Linked DNA regions of Lonchura striata. Each later gene encodes a partner of the first gene's protein in a complex. Links are inferred from orthologs where the notes say so. Each region holds a gene or a part of one and is shown in the gene's direction. Other genes may lie near its edges. The genes, in order: QRSL1, GATB and GATC.

Evidence for each region.
Region 2: QRSL1 (region 1) and GATB share a complex: the UniProt entries of both Homo sapiens proteins name them as parts of the heterotrimeric GatCAB amidotransferase (AdT) complex. The link is inferred for Lonchura striata from reciprocal best matches to the Homo sapiens genes QRSL1 and GATB.
Region 3: QRSL1 (region 1) and GATC share a complex: the UniProt entries of both Homo sapiens proteins name them as parts of the heterotrimeric GatCAB amidotransferase (AdT) complex. The link is inferred for Lonchura striata from reciprocal best matches to the Homo sapiens genes QRSL1 and GATC.

The regions. Positions count from the first base shown.
Region 1 is NC_134605.1:70,564,795-70,572,896, reverse strand, and holds the start of QRSL1 (glutamyl-tRNA(Gln) amidotransferase subunit A, mitochondrial), read left to right. Parts: upstream 1-5,057; 5' UTR 5,058-5,164; coding exon 5,165-5,188; intron 5,189-5,420; coding exon 5,421-5,580; intron 5,581-6,696; coding exon 6,697-6,795; intron 6,796-7,811; coding exon 7,812-7,908; intron 7,909-8,102. Other genes in the region: RTN4IP1 (NAD(P)H oxidoreductase RTN4IP1, mitochondrial), read right to left, coding at 2,139-2,263, 2,496-2,564, 3,375-3,526, 4,646-4,892. UniProt on the Homo sapiens protein: Allows the formation of correctly charged Gln-tRNA(Gln) through the transamidation of misacylated Glu-tRNA(Gln) in the mitochondria. The reaction takes place in the presence of glutamine and ATP through an activated gamma-phospho-Glu-tRNA(Gln).
Region 2 is NC_134606.1:43,467,434-43,474,582, forward strand, and holds the start of GATB (glutamyl-tRNA(Gln) amidotransferase subunit B, mitochondrial), read left to right. Parts: upstream 1-4,050; coding exon 4,051-4,199; intron 4,200-6,004; coding exon 6,005-6,155; intron 6,156-7,149. UniProt on the Homo sapiens protein: Allows the formation of correctly charged Gln-tRNA(Gln) through the transamidation of misacylated Glu-tRNA(Gln) in the mitochondria. The reaction takes place in the presence of glutamine and ATP through an activated gamma-phospho-Glu-tRNA(Gln).
Region 3 is NC_134620.1:4,812,769-4,819,504, reverse strand, and holds GATC (glutamyl-tRNA(Gln) amidotransferase subunit C, mitochondrial), read left to right. Parts: upstream 1-4,006; coding exon 4,007-4,195; intron 4,196-4,337; coding exon 4,338-4,504; intron 4,505-5,262; coding exon 5,263-5,366; intron 5,367-5,745; coding exon 5,746-5,804; 3' UTR 5,805-6,199; downstream 6,200-6,736. Other genes in the region: COX6A1 (cytochrome c oxidase subunit 6A1, mitochondrial), read left to right, coding at 576-656; TRIAP1 (TP53-regulated inhibitor of apoptosis 1), read right to left, coding at 3,087-3,170, 3,792-3,938. UniProt on the Homo sapiens protein: Allows the formation of correctly charged Gln-tRNA(Gln) through the transamidation of misacylated Glu-tRNA(Gln) in the mitochondria. The reaction takes place in the presence of glutamine and ATP through an activated gamma-phospho-Glu-tRNA(Gln).

The DNA.
Region 1 (8,102 bases):
ATTGACATTAATTAGAGTGGCATAGAATAAAAACTATGGAAAAATGACTGGAATTGGTGGAGGGTTCACAAACAATGAGAGCACACTTCAGGAAACTTGTAAAAACATAACCTGTGAAAGTATGTGTAGGTGGAACAGATAATCTCTCAGATCAATGCACCGCCAGAACTGGACTAACAGCAAGTGTTTCTGGTTAGCCCACACTAATGCCTTGAAAGAGGCAAAGAAAAATCTCACTGCTTTTAAGATGTCTTAACATTGCACTAAAGCACCAGTGAAGTAGCTTTCATCAAGGAATACATCTGCTTTGCCAAAATAAGACATTTTTGTGTGCATATACACCCTTCTACATAGCTATTTACCTACAACTACAGGAGACAAAAAGACTGACATAAAATCACACATGTAGGTAACTTCTCACCAAGTACATGATCTAAAGAAATTAGGAAACATGGCATAAATTGTCATATTTTTAAATTATTACCCTGAGAGTTCATGGAATATTATTTTGCACAACCTTTTCAACGCATTTTAAACATTTTCTTACAAGTAATATTTCAGGGGAAAAAAGGTACTATCACATAAGTCATTCACTGCTGGTTTTACAGTTCAAAATTTATAGACAGGAAATATAATATTTTACAGTACATTAAAATGGGTTTCTTGCTGACAACATAATTAAAAAATTATTTGGAATATGAAAGTAAATATTAAATCTAAAGACACATTACAAATCCAGTTTCAATTTTACTGTTAACAATCTAAACACTTACCTGAAGATTGGAAAGACAAATACATCTAGCCTATCAGTGAATCTTTAGGTTAATTCTATTTACATGTGAAAATTAAGATAATAAAAAGTCTAAACACTGAAAAATAAAAAGGTGATCTTATCTAGAATTTTATTACTAGCTGGAAGTTAATTACAATTAAGTATCTTTGAAACACCTTTAAATTTTGAATTTTCATCTCAAAACATTGTTTATCTATGGAAAAAACTATTACTCAATATTTTCATGATGAAGTTCACTATGACACATGAATGACCACTCACTTGATTGTCTTCAGAGACATGGGTGAAAAATTTAAATCGATCCAGAGTCCTTTGCAACGTGTTGCATTACAAAGTATCAGCCAAGATAAGAGGTCAGGCATCCAGACTCCTGTTGCCCAGTAATTACTTTATGACCTAAACCTGTGATGCAGCATAGTAATTTTAACTACTGTTTTTCAACCCCTGTTTTACTTCTGTCATTATTTCCATTCTGAAGATTTTGCTATCTATTTACCCAACATCCAAAGGTCAAAATAACTGAAAATTTCAATTATCAGGAGAAAAATGGTATTTGCTCCAATCTTTCACTGCATTTTTCCTCATCTGCCATTGTCAGATCAACAGACTGATAAACAAAGTCAATTTTTCTATTTGACTGGCTGCTCGTCTTGTACATTCTCCTTTTCTTTTCTTCATTCCTGACCTCATCAAAGTTCTGACCTGCAGGTCAAATAAGAGTCAGTCACCTGCTCATTTTTCTCTAAAAAGCTGGAAGACCAGTCTGCCCCAAATGGCCCATGCATGCAGGAAGTGAGTGAACCACATCTCTGTCCTTGAGAGGGATTTTTGTGAGCTGCCAGTATAACTCAGAGAATATTACATTTGGCTAGCTGTCTTAACAGGAAGACAGGCAAAGTCCCTACAAATTCCTGGAGATAACATCCTCAAATTCTCTACATAGATATACATGGGATTATGATAGAAACATAGAAGAGCCTGGGTTGGATGGAACCTCTAAGATCATCTAGTTCTAAATGCCCTGCTGTGGACAGGGACACCCTCCAATGGGGCAGGCTGCCCAGAGCTCCACCCAACATGGCCTTAAGTATTTCCACTTGTGGATGTGTGGGTATCCACAACTTCTCTGGGCATTTTTTTATCTCTATATAGGGACCTCATCTGAGCCTTCCTCTAAAGAAGCCTCTCTCAGCAGCTGTGTAGCGAGAATGCATCATCCTCAGACAACTGATCCTTAGGAATGTCACGGTATAACAGTCTTTATTGCTGCTGGACTTGTCTTAGAAGCAGCTCATCAATATAAAAATTAAGAACTTTAGTTTTAGCACCAGAACTGTTTACTTACCTTTTCCCACTACAATTATTTCGGTTCAGTCCTCCCACTTGGTTAAGTGCAGACCACGCAGTGAGACCAACATATGGTAAGGCAGCAGCTTCTGTGTGACTGAGAGACTTTGGCTTAAAAGATACCTGAAATAAAATCATTACTAAGTCACACAGCAGCTCCTATGTGACACTGAAATACTTAAAAAAGCTTTACTGAATTTCAGATTGTGTATTGCACATTTTCAGCCATCTTTAACACTAGCTAGAGTATAAATCAATCCAAGCACTAAGAAATAAAGTTACTTAGATACTGAAGAAGAAAAATGCCAGTCTTTACAACTTTGAGGTTTTGTTAGCCAGAGTTTTGGAAGTTTACCTCGTTTCCACTAGCTACCACGAACTCTGACAGAGTGCCTTGTTTCCATGGGGGAATTGCTGCCCACACCTAAAACCAAACAGGAAACAACTATCAATTTTTGTACTTTTGCACACAACTGTATGTACACAGAAGTTTCCTTTGTTAAGGAAATCTTTTTTCTAATTCACAGAATGTCCTCACTGTTTATCAGAAACCAGTTTTGGCTTATTTTGCACACAAAAAAACCCCCACAAAACAGACTAAATGTAGGACTGGAGGGCTATGTAAATAAATTGTACCATTGCATTGTGTATAAGACATAATTTTCAACTGCCCCCATACTACTCCCATGCCAGGAAAGCCCAGATTAGAGGGGTGAGGGTGGTGCAGAATCAGGATTTGCTTAGCTAAAACTGGTGAAATGTGAAAGCAACTGGTGAAGGTGAAAGCAAACAGTATCAGTATTTCTGTGGGCACCCATTAAGTACTTCTTGGGTTGAGCCGAAGTTCCTACTCCAAGTTACTCAAGAAAAATAAAAACAAATCCCTTCTCATTAGAATTCTACTTTCAATTGAAAACAAATTGGCACTTTGAGTGTGCACTTATAAACAAACAAATTCCACTCTTGCTACTGCTGCAATGGTCCAAAAACTAAAACACAGAAAGGAAATTAACTTGCAGAAACAAGTCTCTGAAAGACCATGTTTTCCAGAGAAAAAAACAAAGGGAAGAAAGTATTCCAGGAATTTACTGCCAGATAGGCCTTACTAAGAGTGTAACAGCATTAAAAAAAAATTAAGATGCGAATGAATGCTGAAGTTCTCATAGTATATTTTAACTATACATTTTGGGGGGGAAGAAAAAAAAAAAAAAAAAAAAGAGATTGGTGGTTTTACCTCATCTCCAGGTTTGAAATAGGACACACCCAGTCCACATTCCATAACAACACCAGAGACATCTCGACCAAGCGTTAGAGGAAATTCAGTCTCGCCTGTTTTGAGTTTCAGGGGATCCCGCTTCATATTTAACGCAGTTGCACCATAACCACCTGCAAAACATGGAATCAACCACAACACACCACAATTGAATGCTCATTTATTAATTGTGCAATTCCAATTAAAAAGCATTGTCATCCATAAGGTGCCTCATTTCTGTTACAACTGAAGCATGCAAAAAATCTGCAATATTTCACACTTTTACAGATTTTAGAAATAAAGAGCAAGTGTAAAAAATAATAAGGCATATCTCCTAAGATGAGTAACCTGGACTTCTATTCAGTAAGCACAGACAAATTCTGTGAAGTCTCAGAGTTACCCATCTAATAACAGTGCTCAGCCTAAAAATAGCCTGCATTTGGGCATGTATACCCACTCAAGTGCTGGGACAAGTCCACCTAAGGGCCCTATCATGCCAGAAGGTGTCTTAACAGGAATCCTCAGATAGGAAATGTCCCATCACCAAACCCCTAATTATATGGAAAAATTTTTTAAAATTCATTTATTAGAGACCCAAAACACAGATTAGAGCTCTGTCTGCAGGCTTCCTGCTATTGGCTAATTCTACTGCATCTGATTTGATATGAAAGCACTTCTACACAGGAAATATAAGGTATTCTATTACCACAATTTCCTTCTTGTGTTTCAAACCCAGAAGCTGGGGAAGAAAATCTGATTGACTGTGTCAAATACGAAGAGCCGGCCAGTGAGAGAGACAGATTTCCTGGGCGGGATAACAGCACGTCCCCAGATGCCAATTCAGGATAGGCATGGCAATGAACACCAGGGTTTGCCTTAGGTCGCACATGCCGACTTGGCAGCAACTTGGACCTCCAGCCCCATTCACCGCAAGGAGATGGGAAAATCCAGCATCACTTAGGGAGAATGCTGCTCCTTGGCCGGGCGTCTCTCAGTCGAGAGCAGCACCACAATCACTCAATTAAGAGTGCACCCTCGCAACACACACACGCACACTTTTGCCAGTGGCTTTTTGTATCGTTCTTCCCCGAGAACCTGAAAAAAGGTCGAGTTTCCAAGAGGCGGCGGTTTCCCACAGGGCTCGGGAAACACGTGTGCTGAGGCAGCCCGGGACAGTGCGGGCAGGACGGTGCCCCAGCGCAGCCCCTGCCATCCCGGCAGCCCGCCCGCGGCTGCTCGGGCTCGGCACTTACTTCTCATGCTGAGGTCGATGGGGTTCAGGCTCGCAGCGTGAACCTTAATGATGACCTCGTTCGGGAAGTGTATGATGGGGAACATCATCTCCCTGGTGAAGCGCAGCACCTCGTTGCTGCCGTACCGGTCTATGACCCAGCTGGGCATGGCGACCCGCGCCCGCGGAGAGGCGCGGAGCCCGCGGGCCGGTGCCCGCCCGTTCGCCCAGCGCAGCGCCCGCCCGCCCGCCGCTCCCCACGACAGCATAGCCAGGGCAGCCGGGCCGGGCCGGGCCGGGCTGGGCCGGGCTCGGGATGGGGATCGGGATAAGGACCAGATCGGGATCGGGCCGGGTCGCCACGGCGCGCCTCAGCGCTCAGCCCGGCGGCCCCCGCAGCCAATGGGCGGCCGCCTTCTTGGCCGCCCTGCCAATGGCGCCGCGGGGTGTTGCGGCAAGATGGCGGCGCGCGGCTGCCGCGGCGGGGGAAGGTGAGGGTCGTTCGGCGGGCGTGAGAAGGTGGCGGCGGGCAGGGGCAGCCATGCTGCGCACCTCTCTCCGACAGGTGAGTGCGGTTTGTCCACCTGCTGAGGATGCCAAAGAGCGGGGTAGGGGTGTCGAGGAGGGGGGCGGGTTCGCAAGGTGACCCGGGTCCCCTGGCGTCCCCCTTCCCCGGGGCGGCCCGGGAGAGCGCTTCCCGTGGCACCTTCCCTCAGCGGGGATGGCGCGTTCTTCCCGTTCCGCCCCGGCGCGGCCTCTGTCCCCCGGCTGCCCCGAACGACGGGCTGCGCTCTCAGGTGTCGGCGGCGTTGAAGGAAGGACGAGTCACTCCCACGGAGCTGTGCCAGCGATGCCTGGCCCTCATCAGAACCACCAAGTTTCTGAATGCGTACATTACCGTAACGGAAGAGACCGCTTTGAAGCAGGCTGAAGAATCAGAGAAGAGATATAAAAGAGGTATGTTGGTTTGTAAGTAATGTCAGTCCTTAAAAAGCTGCTGTGGAGGAGCTCTTTTTGTTAGACGAAGCACCTTTGCTTTTTAAAGGGGATGTCTTGGCTTGTCTGACTGTTGGGGGATGAGGCTCACGCTTGAGGTTTCCGTGGGTGCTCGTGGACGTACACTTGGCACTCAGGAGAGTATTTAGGCCAAAAAACAGTCTGGACTGAACAAGGCACTGCAGGTTAAATAGCCTCTGTGCCTCTTGGACAGCACTGCTGCTTGGTGTCTGCTGCTTCTTTGCCTCAGCAGTTCATTTAGAATATGTAGCCAACAGGTGCTATGAATAGGCAAATGCAGTGGTCATTCACAGGCCTCCAGGCTGGGATAGGCAAACAGCTGGCAGAACCTATTGAATTTTTAATTAAGAAAACAAATTAAAATAAAGTAGCTTTATTAATTGCAGTTAGTAATAGGAGAACAGAACAGTTTTCAGTCCCGTTATCTCCAGCATTTAGGAGATGGCCATCCTCATTTTGCCTTTGTGTTTCAAGAAAGGCAGGAAAGTTAAATTTTCACCCAATAGAGTACACAGTTTCCTTCCTGGGTGACACTTGCTGTCCTCTGGCAGCTCAATAAAATTGTCAGCCAGGTTGTTTTGCTTCCTGATGTAGGCCATTTCATTTTTGGGTTGGGTTTTTTTTTTGATGGTGGATAATCAGTTACTTGGGAAGGATTTTCTCTGCTTCAGTAGTTAATCTACTGTGTACGTCAGTTAGGCAGTGTTTATGGCTGCCATCCTAGTGATGGAGTGGATTTAGTAGCACCTATGGCTGAAATAAGTGTTGTGTGGTCCCATTGGAATGCACTCCTTTGGGATAGCCAGCCTGGATGGAAGCAGGTGGAGGGCTTAGACATGAGGTCTGGTTTGGGCACAGTGCTCAATGCTTGAGCTGGAATGGAAGACGGTTCTTGAGAATGGAACAGACAACCATCAAGTGCCAAGTGGAAAGCAATCTTGCGTCCAAAAACCACCCAAAGCGATATGTAAAATAAACAGTAATTGATGAGAACTTTATATTTATAGAGCACATTTTGCTTTAATCTCTGTTGTTTTATAATCATTCTTAATGCAGGTCAGCCACTGGGCATTCTAGATGGAATTCCTATTGCTGTAAAAGACAACTTTAATACAGCTGGCATTGAGACAACATGTGCATCAAATATGTTAAAAGGTACAGTAAAGCTTTTAAAGTAAAATCAGATCTTTTGCTCTTTAGAGGGTTTATGGACTGGAGGCTTGCAGAAATCCAAGTATTTTTGAAAAATGAGCTGGTATCATTTGAGGAAATATGTTTATCCAATTTCACTAGCCAAGTTCATCTGGTATTACAGATAGATCTTTTTCTTCTTCTAAGCATGTTATTTCTTTATAATTGTATGCATTTAAAAACATTAAAAAAACAAATAAAATAATAATAAATAATAAAACTACAATAAAATGGTTCCAAAACTTGCATTTTCCTTCACATTGCTTTTAGGTCTAGAGGAGAGCAGTCAGTACTGTTCTGCCTAGTGAAATCCAGAGACAGTCCAGTTTTGTTGTTGTTCTGTTTATAATTGGTGACTTAAATAGTTTTTTGATATGGCTGTAGGAAAAGTAGATATTAACAGTCCAACATACAATCACTCTATAATGCTTTTAAGGAATTTTTTTTTAATTTCCTAAACTCATTGTTTTTATTAACAGTTCATGAACATTTTCAAGTCATTACAATGTTTTTATAGTAAAAACAAAAGTAGGAAACATTTCTTACACCTGTTTTATTCTGTGCAAAGTAAGACTATATTAATCCTTGAGGAAGATAGCAGAAGTAAATTAGCAGACCTCTAATTTGATTATGGTTTTTTTAATAGCAGAAGAAACAAAATATGACTTCACTGTTGTAAAAGTTGTTATAGATGCTTTTCCTTAAAGCACATCCTCAGACCTGTTGTGATTGATTGCAATGAGTATTAGGAGTGATGTCCTTGTTTCTGATGAAAGTGGGAGTGAAGAAGCCCTCGTCGTCATTCACAAAGTGAATTAGTTACTACTTGAGATCTCATGTCACTGTCATAGTTCTCATCCTAGGTTATGTAAGGTCTGAGTGGTAATGATAATATCAAAATGTTCAGAGAAGCTACTAAGCTACTTGTAAAAATAATTTGCATCTCACCAGTTGCTCTTAATTATTTTGATTGTTTTCAGGTTATATTTCTCCTTACAATGCTACAGTAGTTCAGAAGTTACTGGATCAAGGAGCTGTGCTTTTAGGTAAAACAAACCTAGATGAATTTGCAATGGGGTAAGTGATGTTTATTATTTTTAATGTGCTGATTTTACATAAAATAACATACATACCATCTGTTCCAATCTACCTGTAATCCTTAACTCCTGTTTCTGTGAGGCAAGACAATAATGAATACTTACTGGAAGGACACAAAGAGCTGCATGAACTTCTCCTTGAGTGTTTATAGTGTTGCATAAATGATACAGACG
Region 2 (7,149 bases), on another chromosome or scaffold:
TTAAACAATAAGATTAGGGTAGTACTCACCCTCAGACAAGGTTAGTGGCACTGGACTTCACCAAACACTGCCTCTGCTGTATGGGTTTACACAGACCTCAGCAGAAACAAGCCCAGTAACTTCACTTCCAGCTCAGGGTTCCAAGACAAAGGGCTGTACTGTGCCCCTAAGTGAAAGCTTTTGGGATTGCCAGCACCTGATTCAAGTCACAGATGTAGCCAATGCCCAGTGCAGCACTCCCAGGCAAGGCACACCAGGAGAAACCAGTAGAGAAAGGTGGTAATACACAGGTATTACCATGGCTGAACCAAGGTTCTCTTCAGCAACACAGCCCCTGAGGAACATTGAACTCACCTTCTACATGTAACTTACAGGTTTTTGTTACTGTTTATAGAAATTGTTTGTGCATCCATATTTCCTGTCTGAGTCTGCCCTTATTTTTCAACTCATGAGTTATAACAATTTTGGTAAATAAAATAAAATGGCACTATGTCCCAATTAGGAAATTGATGGCACTTTGATACAAGAACCCTCAAGTCATGAGGCTGTTCATATTACCCAATCTACCACTGCATGCATGCTTGCACACATGGACAGCAGATCATACAAGGCAGCTCCATTAGGTCCCTAAAGACTCTTTCCTGTGGTCAATATCCTTTCTCAGTCCTCAAGATCGACAGACATTTTTGTATTTGCCATATCCCATTACTGGTAGATAGGTGAGTTGAATCCATATTCCAGACTGAAACAGATCATTGTCACTATTAGTTCAAAGTTGCAGGAAAAAAAGAAAATTTCTCTCTTTATACCCGCAGAGGAAAAAAAAAAAGGCTTTCAAGATATAGAGGTGATCTTAAGGGCCTAAAAGTTTTAAAACATCCCTTACCATAGTTTGCTTCCAGACTTAGCAATCTGCTTTGTTACTCTTCCCTGCAGGCCAATGTCTGAATTTTTGATAGACTATGGATCTACTGTTCCAAAAGTCACAACCTCTTGCTTCAAAATCTAGCAGAGATTCCTGTCTGTTCCTTATTTCACATGCTGAAATAAGACACTGCAGGCAGCCTGTGAAGTATCTAACAAACACCCCAGTCTGAATATCCCATTCCCTGCTATACCAAAAGAAGACCTCACAGTCCCCAAAAGGAGTAAGTATGTGTGACAAGTATGACTTGCATAAAAACAGATTTTAGAGTTGAGAACCCTAGAAACTAAAATTCAGAGGGATATTCTTTCAACTAAATGGGATAGACTGCTTGTTTATGGCTTAAATTATATACTGTTGGGTTTTTGCTCTTTGTAAAATTCCAGTTTTCTCTCAGACATTGGTTAAATTCCTACAGTAACAAGAGACTCAGAGCAAACTGTCCCCTGGGTCTATCCTCTCTAAGATATGAGTCTACATAGTACTGAGCTATCCTAGCACAAATCTTTATGCAGTGCTATTTTCCTATTCTAAGCCACAGCATGATCTATAAACACACTGCAGTAAGAACAAATATGTAGCCTTTCCCACCTCAAAGTAAGCTGCTGGGAAAGACAATTATTCCCTGTGACTGACTAGCTTCTGCATATGAATGTGTGGGTTTTCATTTATTACCTCCTTGGTTACTAGCAAAAGGCTGCGAAGGTTCTTCGGATGGGATTTTTTTTCTGGGAAGGGAATTAAAATAACACTGAGATAATTTAAATCACAAACAATGGAACTTCCCAGTCTTCCTCTCTCTGTAAGACAACACCTAATACAGCTAAAAGTTCCAGAGGAATTGTTTGGGATGGATTTCAACCCTTTTGTGCTGTCTACTCGCTTCTAATATGTACAAAGGGCAGAAATCCATGCAATCAAGGCAGAGTAAGGCTTTAAGTAACATGGCTTTAATATTCATTAGGTTTTAACTTCTTAGTGACTATTTATAAAATCTTCTATTACAGCAGGAGAACAGACTTAAAAGAAAGTCAAATAATCTGAAATATACAATTTTTACCCCAGTAGAAACACTTCAGAGCTATATTTAGAACCTCTCCTGACAGCTGGGTTGAAGTGACCTGCCAATCCCTACATAGTATCAGAAAATAACTACATCCAGAGTTCATGGAGGACAATTGTAAAGAGAAAAAATTTGTTGCAGAAATAAAAACCATGTATTAAAGCTGCAGTCTGAAAAGCATTTTTCATCACAAGATATTGCATAGGCCCCTGCTAAGTCCAAATGAAAATGGTCTTTACCTCTAATCAGAATTATCAAAATTTCTTAAATGTTTAATTGGCTCAAAGACTACAGCATAGGGAAATATATTCATTTACCTCATATGTGAAGAAGTTTTCTACAGGAGAGAAGATGAAAGGCCACTCCAATGTTCTTCCCATCTCCACAACATGTACAAGATGACCTGTGGTGAGTTTTTCTCTATTGGAAAGGAATTTTTTTTTGGTCACTCTTTGTTGTACAAGAGGAGGATATTTCCCAAGAAAAGGAATGTGACAAACTAATTTTAAAAAGATAATATTGTACAAATAGCCATACATCAGTGTCTGCTGAAAGGATCTCTCAATTGGCTCTTCTTACACAGCACTTCCAGATAATTTATTAAAAATATAAACATATCAGAAAATCAGTGCTACGAAACATTGTGTATAAGCCATTTTCTTTCATTATTTAATTAGGTGAATTATTTTCTGCATGACTCAGAACCATTCAGCATCTCATACTGGATCTTGGGAAGACAAGAGGTCCTAAAGGTTCCAAGACACTCTCAAGTGCCTGTGTATACCGCTGTCCTCTGCTGGAAGCCACCAGCCTCAGCGACACGAGTGTGCCTGCCCAGCCTCTGCCGGCAGCCGCTGACAGAGCACAGGTGACATAAGCAGCAAGGGCTCATCTTCATTCCCGTTTAAGCTTCACATGGCTTGGGACGGACTGTCATTAATTCTGTTATCTCTGCAATGTAGCTATGTAAACATTAAAGAGATGTCAGATGCCCTGGACAAGACTCTTGTGAAAAATGCATATTTTACGATTGGCTTTTTGCAAATATTAAAATGAATATTATATGTGTAATGTTAGAAAGTTATGCTGTATTAATTCGCTTAAGTAGTGTGTTAAATATAGTTTTAGGTCACATCATAATGTTAAAATAGAAACTCTGCAATGTAAGATTTTTTTTACTAGCTCAAGAAAAGGGATGAGATAATCAAGAAACTCTTCTCACAGAGATAACAGTGACAGGGCACATAAAGTTACAGCCTCCCTATCGGAAAAGACAAACATTCTTCCACTTTCTCTCCGTCTTTATGGAACCACCAGGATTAAGAGGAAGAAGTTGACAAAAACCAGAAAAGTTCTTAATTTGCAAGGAATTTATGCATCATGTATGAGATAGATGAATGTGCTATTGATATTGCTGTTGAGGGGTATTCCTTTGTTCACAAGGCACGTTTTTGGCAGCATAGTGTCCAAAAACATCCGGATGTCCGTAATTCTTTGCTTTTATTGTCTTGTAATTGTCCTAACTCTAAATTTTTATTACTTTATAACCATTTTATTCTTATTAAACTTCTAAAAATTCTAAAAAGAAGTGACTGGCGTTTATCATACTCTTTATTACCAGAGCACATCCCAGCCGAGGCTGAACTTTGCTGCCCTACGGAGAAGCCAAGCTCCCAGACCTCGAGCACGTGGCACTGCAGCATTCGATGCCCTCGGCTTGCAAACGGCTGCCGATCAAAAAGGCGGCTGGTCTTGTAAAAGCGGGAGCCCCGAAGAAAACCACACACAGCGCACCGAGAGGGCGTGAGCCGGCCAACGCGTTCTAGGGAGCAGCCGAGCAGCGCTCCCACGGCTCGCTCCGGCATTCCCGGGATAAGCAAAGGACCACCGGACCCAGCTCGGCCGGCGGGGCGGGGCCGGCGCCACGGCCAGCGGCCTGACGGGAGTTGTAGTCCGCCGGCACGGCCGCACTCCGCGCCGCCATGCCGGACGGACTGCATTTCCCAGGGGGCGCTGCGGGCGGCCGGGAGCCGCTGGCGGAGCGATGGCCGCTGCGGTGGCCATGGCGGCGCGGGGGTGCGGCGGGGTCTGGCGCCGGGCGCGGCAGCGCGGCGCGGGGCAGCCGGGGCCCGGGCCCGGCCCTTTCCCCCGCGGGCAGAGGGCTGTCGCCTGTAACGCGAGAGGCGGGGCGGTGCCGGCGGGGAAGAGCGGGTACGGTGCCGGGACGGCGCGGGGAGAGCGGCCGGTGGAGCTGTTCCGCCCTGGCTCTGCCCGGCTGTGGGTCTCCGGGCGCGGGAGCGGCGGTGGCAGCGGCGGGGCCCGGTGTAAATTGGCCGTGTGAGCGGTGTGAGCGTCGGCAGCACGTTTACCCCAGCGCAGTGGGAACGGCCGCGGCGGCGGGGCCGTGGCCGGCCGGGCGGCGCGGGGAGCCCGCGGCTCGGAGCGGGAGCCGCGGGGCGCCCGAGGGGGACCCAGCCCTCAGGAGCGCGCCTCCGAGGCTTCTTCCAGCCCCACACACGCTTCTCTTCTAGCGCGGTGTGTGAGGTTTGGGTGCTGTGCCTGAAGCAGAGCATGCAGCTGAAAGTCACGGCCTGACCAAGTTCTCGTGTCCCACGAGTGTCTGCGCAGCTGATCACTTCAACAGCGGCAGAGTGTGCTGCTAATTCTTTAGAGACACAGATAAACATAATCCTTGAACAAACAAGGCAAGGAGCTCCAGGTGCCTCATCAGTGTTGTCAGTGGATTGAAGGACTGACTGGTGCACGTACCTTTTTCTCTGAGTGTAAGCCAACACACTGATTAAGCAAAACCTGGTGTAATTTTTAATGCCTTGATATGACAGAAGCGGATTTCCGAAGAATACAGGAAACTGGAATAAATTTGCCTCGGAAATGTAAAAGAAAGCCCACATTATTTCTCTAACCTTGAAGCATTTGTATGTTCGGTTAAAAATACTGAAGAATAATACTATTTAAATGAAAGAAAATGCGTTAGCTCCTTTAAACATCTGAACCTTAATCTTTCATGGTAATATTCTTCTTCCTAAAGCATCAACTGCATCACTAGTTTGGTGTGTTTGTAGGGATGTCCTCAGCTGTTGGAGGGCAGATGGAGAACTAAAATCTTGGCAGTGTAGAATGTTCACCTTTGGAAGGAACACTGTACTTCTTATATTTGTTTGATGTTTTTTCATGGCTTGCTTATCTCCTGCTATCTGGGTACTCATACTGCTGAAGTGTTCTGCCACAGAAATGCGATTTCATCAGTGAAATATTATTTGTGCCACTTCATTTTTACAAGGCCAGATAATTACTTACAGAAACTGTCAAGCAATTCATACTGTAAAGGTGACCTTTTTCTCTTGTCCATATAAAGGTTATGGATGTGAGAATTGCAATTACTTTTTAGATGATATGGAGAAGCTTTATTCTGCAGAATGCATTCAGAGAACAGTAGCTCTCTAGTTGAAATGATGATTTCTCTATTACCAGATTACTAATGTTTATGCTAATATTCTACTAACACTGCTCTGGAGAGCCACCTTTCCCAGCATGCAAGTGTCTATCTGACAGAGAATACATAATTTATTATGCCACCTGTCTGTTGTAGATTTATCAAGCTACCTGAGAAGTAATTCATATTTATGATGATTTGGGGATTTTCATGAGGCACCAAATTAGGGTTCATCCAGCATGCAAGTGTGCCTCATTAATTTCTCTGAGATTTCTCACATAAGGAAAAGTTAAAAGTTTTAAACCATTGCAATTTTTTATTACATTCTTTTTTGCATGTAATTAGCACTGCCATGTAGTCCCATAGCCTCTGTTATCCAGTATCACAGCACAGGTTTTCCTATTACAGTGTAGATGTATTTGCAACATTGTTTACAATTTTTTTACAATTACAATGTTTTAAAATAAATTAAGCGTTCCTAATACTTCTGTTTCTAGGTTTCCATGGGTTTTAACATCATCTATATTTAAATTGTTTTCCCCTTCTCCTCTTTCCTTTTCAGTCTCGTTCCGTGGGTACCAGTTGTGGGTCTGGAAATTCATGCACAGATCAGTTCCAACTCAAAACTCTTCTCTGGTTCACAAGTCCAGTTTGCAGCACCTCCCAACTCTTTGGTATCTTTCTTTGATGCCTCTTTACCAGGAACTTTACCAGTAAGTTAAGCTGCAGTTTCAATTAATGTCAGACAACTTTGTGTATGCTTCTAATATTTTATTTTTCCCAGGATTTGACTAAAGTCATATATATGACTACTTTTCCTTACTTGTCTAAATTCTGTTTCATAACATGAGATGCCTTTATATCCCCTGCAAAGGAGAAAAATCAGGAGTGTCTCTTCAACATAGTGAATGGGTTGTGGTATTTCTTTGAGGCCAGAGTGGGTGTGTTTGCTTAGTATGCCACACAGGAAATTCCTTAAATATGAGAGATGCCTAAAGCCCAGTGAGAGAAGAACATCTTAAGATTTCTGAGTGGCCATTTGATGTTATTTTGCCATATGCTTGTTTATGTAGCTGTCATTTGCCATTTGGAATGTCTCACTGAGGAGTTACTTTGATTCCTGAGAAGAATGTCTCCAATTTAGGAAAGTGTCAACCATTCCTATTTCCAGAGCAAACCAATTATTTAAAAAAAAAGTAATCTGTGTGACACATTGGAGATTAATAGGTCAGAATAACTAGCTAGCACTTAGCAATAAGGTTTATTAGTGAAAACTTAATAAGTGTTTGAATTCACAGCTTAATTATAACTGTGATGGCTATGACAGTACTACTGTGGAATTCTCTGAGTATCTAACAAGTTTAATTTAAAAATAAAAGTTAAAAAATTAGAACATAAGCTCTTACAATACAGTGAAAATAAATATTTAATAGACTTAGCATTGCCACATGCAACAACTCTGCAGAGACTAAGATGGGGTCTAATTATTTAAAGCAGAAATGTTTCACTGACTGTATTCATTAAAGTGCAGATTTGAATTCCAGTTACAGAAATGTATTTTTAAATCTAGTTGTAGCTTTGCATTACCATAAAACAGCCTCAGATAATCTAAAATTGGGAACTAATTTGTGTCTGCATTTCTAGGGTGTTGATATATGTCATGATCCTTAAAAGGAGAAATTATGTTGTTATTATTGATTTATTTTT
Region 3 (6,736 bases), on another chromosome or scaffold:
GTACTTAAAGTAACACAGATCTAAAAGGTAGCAGTGGAGATCCCAAGTACTCAAAATTGGGGTCCTCGTAATACAACACAGTGGATGTTTAAGAGCAAAGATTGTGCTGTTCAGAGACTCTGGCTCCCAGCTAAGGGAGAGAGTTTTCCAACTCTTGCTTCCTACATCCTGGGAGCCAGCTTGCTTAATTTATCAGCCTGTCTAGCTGTGTGATCATAAAATCATTTAGGTTAGAAAAGTCTTCTGAGATGGAGCCCTACCTTTGACTCATCTCCACCCTGTGGCCCAGATGATGGCACTAAGTGCTACATCCAGTCTATACCCAAACACCTCCAGGGATGGTGACCCCAGTAGCCTGGGCAATTTGTCCCAATGTTTAGCAACCCTTTTCATGAAGAAATCCCTCCTGATGTCCAGCTTGAACCTTCTGTGGCACAGCTTGAGGCCATTTCCTCATAGCCTGTCACTAATTGCCTGGGAGAATTGATGTTTGAGTCTGTACTGTTCTTGGTTTCAGGTGCTTGTAGGGGTTGTTCAGAGCTACCACTGGCTTATTTTCTTTCTTCTTTTAACAGCGTTTCCCCTGGGGTGATGGGAATAAAACTCTGTTTCACAACCCCCACGTTAACGCTCTCCCAACCGGTTATGAAGATTAAAACCAAGATCCTGACAACAGCCGGAACTTTGGCTCTCCCCATATTGAACCAGAATGCTGAATGGGAACCATCATTTCTGGGGTCATAGTTACAGAAACTGTTTCTTCTGAGATGAAGCTGAGTGGTGTACTGGCCCCCGTGTGCATTTGTGATGGGGCCCTTTAAATAAACAACTCTGAACATGAATTTGGGATTTGACTTGTTTACCTGAATCCTTAGGAGATTTTTAGTTGTGTTGGCATAAAGCATTAAGGTTACCCACAGGACAGAGTGCATGAGCAAAGGGGCTTGACTGCCTGAATGGAAACACATGTTCCTATGTCTGTAACAAACAACACGAATGCATTTGGCACAGGACATGAATCAATTTCATATTCTTCGTGTCTGGTTTAACTGATGACTCTAAACTCACGGCCAGAACAACATATACATAGATTAAAACCCAATATATACTGAAGCACATTCTCCATTATCAGCTTTTGCAATATTTATTAACAGTCATGAAGGTGATTTTCTCTTGGTCACTCCTGGCAGAGGGGGTGGCAGCAAAGATGTTGAGCTAAGCTCTGCCTTCACATTGTTCCCCTTCAGCTCTCAAATTTTCAGGTACATCAGCACATATCTTTCTCACCACTCTGCTCTCCATAAAGCTGCAGTCTGTGTCTGTCACACAGGTTTTGCAGAAGAAAACACAATTTTGGTTCTACTGCTTGTGTCTGTGTAATGTGTACTGTGTCATGCAGAAGCTGCCTGAAGCAAAGAAAATAGTGAGCCAACAGCATGAGCCTGTGCCAGTACAACTTTAATTTTCAAGTTTTTTGCTCACTACAAGTCAACCATTTTCCAGTTCTTACTATAACTTCTATATTTTTTGCACAATGTGAAAGTGAGCTCTATCTCAGCTGTCACGAACGTGGTTCTTCCCAAAAGGTAGAATGCAGCAGCTGCTTTGGCATCTTGCTGTTGAAAGGAGTGACAGATGGCAAGAGAGAATCTCAAAGTGGTAGTGCAGGATGCCCTTCCCCATGTTTCCATGTGATTTTTTTTGTCTGTTTACCAGTAAAAGATTGTTGAGACAAAGTTTTCCTATTTGAAAGTACAAGGCACTGATGGGCACCACAGTTGTTTTAAAGCTGACAAAGTCACATTACATTTAGCCCTACATGAAGATCATAAAAAAGCAAACTGTTTTTGCGAGTTACTCCTTAAAAAAGAAAAGCTACAGAGTCAACTGTCTCCAATATGCTATTTCTAGATCCTTCCCTTAGACCTGCTGCACTTTGCCAAAAGCCTGTTTTTTCAGTGCTATATTTAAGCCCTGTGCTGACACAGTGGGAGCTCCTTGCACCTGAGAACAGGAGGGTGGCTCACCTGGCTCTGTGACTGGCACAGAACAACAGCCTCAGGCTGCAGCACTTCCTGATCCTCTGCACAAGGCCCAAGGACACATTGTCTGGGCATCTGTGAGGGGCTGTGGTGCAGACAGGCCAGCTACAATGTTTGAGAACTGTACTTTTTTAGCTGTTTTTTTTTTTTTTTTAAACCTTTAAATTATTAGTAGTAATTAAAATCAGAGAGTGAAGCTTTTTTCCTCACTGTATTTCTAGAATTATGAAGTTATCTTTTGTCCTCAGGCCATAATATCTTTTTTACCTGTGTTGGTGTAAGGAGAGGGGCAAGCTTTGCTTCATCCCTGTGTGAGGATCATGTAATGCTGAAGGAGAGAGAATTCAAGTTCATGGATGTGTCGGTACCTCAGGAAAGCTTGAAGTAACCTCTGCATTAGGAGTCTTCTCTTCAGCAGCTGAGCAGGCCACTTCCACCCCTCCTAGGGGGCACAATCAGACTCTACTGCACAGTTACCTACTTGAACAAAATATAACCTGGTTGCATTTATTTTAGCCAAGCTGTTGCAGGTCCACTAGTGCTCTTAACCCATCTCTGTAGCTGACACAAAACAGTGCTCAAACCCTTCAGCATTCACGATTACACGAAACTAATTTCATCACCAAAATTCAGCAGCATAGAGATGGTAGAAAGTACATCAACCCCCTTCGTATTCTTTTGAAACACTTTCAAGTGTTATATAAATAACCAAGAGAAATCAGCCACAAAGAACCCACCGCAGCCCACTCCAAGCAGCATTCCCCCATTACAGAGTACATTCAGTAGGAAGTTATTCACATGGAGTTTTAAGCAGTTAGATGCTGAACCACCACCAAGTTTCACTGGCAAAGAGGCAGCAGTTACCACATGATCCAGTCTTTTTTTTTTTTTTTCTTTCAGCAGTTTGTTTTCACAAGCAGAGAACATTTGTCACTTCCTAGAAAGCAGTTAACAAAGGTCTTCTCCAGGTGGCATCTGTGGTACACCTGGTGATGGTGCTTAGTCCAAAGGCTCCTATTAGTGACTCCACCCATACAGCCAACATCAAGAGGAGTTTTCACTTTTTCCTTTACTTGGGCCCATGAACTCCAGGCCCTCAATGGGTATGTCCTTTTCCTTGATGGCTTTCTGAAAAAAGAAGAAAAACCAAATAATTAAATTCAGCACTTTACAGGGCTACATGATGTTATCTTTGGTACAAAACACAGAACCACAGAATCAATTAAGCTGTAAAACACCTCTGAGATCATCGAGTCTAACCTATGACCCATGAGCAATAGCACCACGTCAACCAGAGCACGCCAATGGCCAGGCTCTCCTTAAACACTGCCTGCACCACCTCCAACGTCGGATCACCCCTTCTGTGAGAGAATTCCTCCTGATGTCCAACCTAAACCTCCCTGCTGCAGCTTAATTCTGTAAGCTCTTGTCCTGACGCTTGTTGCCTGAATAGAAATCATCCAAAATAATCCAGATCACAAGCGACCTAGAAAAAGTAGTCTTAAAGGCTGGTTTGAACAACGCTTCAATGTTAGAGTTGCTGAAGGACGTACGGAGAACTCACTGAACTAGTCAGCCTGACAGAAACGTGCAGGAGACGTCTGTGAAGTATTCCATGTAACGACGGCCAGGCGCAGGGCGAGAGGAGCCCGGAGCTGCGTGGGGCTCAGTGGTGCGGCCCGAGGCCGCGCTGGGGCGGCGGGGGAAGGACGGCCGGGGCGCGGGGAGCGGGGCCCGGGCCGGACGCACCTGCACGCAGAGCTGGTAGCGCTTGAAGAGCTGCCCGCAGGGATCGCCGGCGCTGTCGCCCTTGAGGAACTTCTCGGCGAACCAGCGGTTGAAGCACTGGTCGTACTCGCGCTTGAGCTCGGTGCACGCCTCGCCCACGCTGTTCATCGCGGCGGCCGCGCCGGCCGCGCCGTGACGCGCATCCGGTGCACCGGTGACGCCGCGCCGGGGCCGCGATGCGCGCGCTGCCGCTCGGGCGGTGGCTCCGCGCCGGGGCCGGCCCGCGGCCGCGCCGCGCGGCGCCGCACCGAGCGCTCCGCGCAGCGCCGCACCGAGCGCTCCGCGCAGCGCCGACGGCGCCCAGCGCCGGCCGCGACAGCCAGCAGCGGGTCCCTGCCGGTGGCCGGGATCTGCTGACCTTAAAGGTCTTTTCCAGCATTAACGATTTTAGGGTTCTCTGTGAACTCCGCTTTTGACGTGTAACAAGTTTCTAATTAAAAGGAAGTAGCGCTATTAAACTTGTTAATTTTTGACCTTTTTTTTGTCCGTGTTGATGCTTTTGTACAGCAGAACGTGTCGGTGGAAGTGCTGGACCACTTGGAGCAGCTGGCCCTGGTGGATTTCCGGGACTCGGAGGGCGTGGAGCGGCTGCACAAAGCGATCCAGTTCGCTGATCAGCTCCATGAAGTAAATACCGACGGCGTGGAACCGATGGATTCAGTGCTGGAGGACAGGTGCTATATCATACGAGCCTCTTTTTATCTGTTAATGCATCAAACTGTTTGCTTCTGGGACCTTTTTTCCCTGGGAATCACCATGCATGTGGCCCCTTTGCTCAAAAACATCTTCTTGTGGTTCTGTGTGGGAGAAAGGTGTCATTGGCACGTGTAATTTTTATGTGTGAGTAAAGCAAAGGTGAACTTAAGTCCTTTAATCTGTCTTGTCACACTGTTCCCTGTGGTAAGTACATTTTTCTTTTTTTCAGGATTTTCTAGAGGTGTACAGAGATAAATGAAAAAGAAAACAATTTATATTTCTACTGCTTGTTTTTCCTATGTGGAATGTGTTTGGAGAATTGTTTACCTAGAGTGAGTGCTTGATTCGATTCTGGTGGGGATTGTTTGAGCCTGACGGCCAATCCAACCCACCTGTGTCTAGACCCTCAAAAGAAGGTCATGAATTGTGTTAGAGAAAGTAGTATATAGTTTTAGTATCTTCCTTTTTATATAGTATATTAATGTATTTAACATAGTTATAATAAAGAAATCATTCAGCCTTCTGAATTGAGTCAGTCATAATTTCTTCCCATTAAGTTCACCTGCATTTACAATAATTCCCCAAATGCCTGCCAGTGCCATTCTTGGGTGCTTCAAAATGTTCCAGTATTTGTCTCAGTGTTTAAGAGACCAAAACCAGATTCAGAGATAAGCCACCCTTCCTACCTCATATTCACAGAACAGCCTAAAAACAATCAGTAATCTTTGTCCTTCAGGTGTTTGTATCTCAGAGAAGATGATGTGACAGAAGGCAACTGCACCAAAGAACTGCTGGAAAATGCCAGAGAGAAAGTAGAGGAGTATTTTGTAGCTCCACCAGGTATTGACTTGCTTACAAAAACCTCTTAATCTCACCTGAATTAACCTGAAGAAAATAACCTGCCATAGCTGCATTTACTTTCAGAAATACTAGTCAATAATGGGGAGCACTAAAATAAAGGAATGTAGCCATCTGTGTAAAACAATGTGCAGTTTATTAGTTCAGAAGCAGCACAGAGGCTGGCCTGACTCTGAAGTTACTGCACATGTTGAGAAATTCCTTATAGGAAGTCAGGCAGGACTTAATTTCCTGACTTTCTCAGGGTATTCAGGCAGCCTGTTCATGGAGTAAACTGGAGAAACACTTCCATGCCAAGGTGTTCTGCCCACAAGGTAACTTACAGCTGGTCTCACACAACTTGTTTTCTGTTTTCTCTCAGGTAACATCCCTTTACCAAAGCTGGAAGACCGAGAGACTTTTCTGCAGGGCTCTAAGTGACAGCCCAGAGCCTAAATACCCTTTGAGTATTTTATTTGGGGAAAGTGAAGTTTTGTGCAGTCACAGCTGAAACACCCTCGCATGTATTTTGGTCAAAAGAAGAGCACTTGCAAGACAGAAGAAAGAAAGTGTAAAAGTTTAGTAGTGCTGCTGAAATATTCAATGTCTCTGAAGCTGGATGGCAGCATGGCAGATGATCTTGGTGCTTTTATTTGCAAAGGGAATTTGCTGTCTGGAGGTGAGAGCAAACCCTTGTCCCACTCTTCATTGTGAAATTATCTAATTTTTTGTTTAAGCATCCATAATATACTCATAGATGCATAAAACATGTAATTACTATGATACTTGAATTCTTTCAAGGGTATTGAAATAAAGCCTGTATTTAACACCACTAATCCAATTCTCTGCAAAGCTGTAACACTGTATTTATGCTTTAGCCTCAGACTTGTCAAGATTCAGACCCTGCAAATGCTGAAGTTTAACAAATATACAAACTCAGCCTTTAAGTAATTTATGAGGTTTATAAAAATCATGACAAGGAAAGATTTCAAATATCTATCAAACAATATGATTAATACCACAATCATAATATCAGGTAATTCCCAGTTTGATAAGTCCCCCCTTGATCTATCCATTTTGGCTTCTCCCTTTGACCATCAGAGAGAATAGGGACAATATTATTTACACAAAAAAAGGAAGAGGAATTTGAGAGGGAACTGAATGGCTGCAGGAGCTTTTAACCCAAAATAGCATCAAGTAACTATTTAAAGGCAGCAACTAAACCAACAATTTGGACAAGATGATCCCACATTCCCAATGCAGCACAGGCTAAACTTAAAACTGCCAGTTCAGTGCTGCTCCCACACACTCCAGTGAGAACAGACTGCCTGATGCTTGTTCCCTGCAGCCCAAGCTGCATTTCAAGTAGAAAA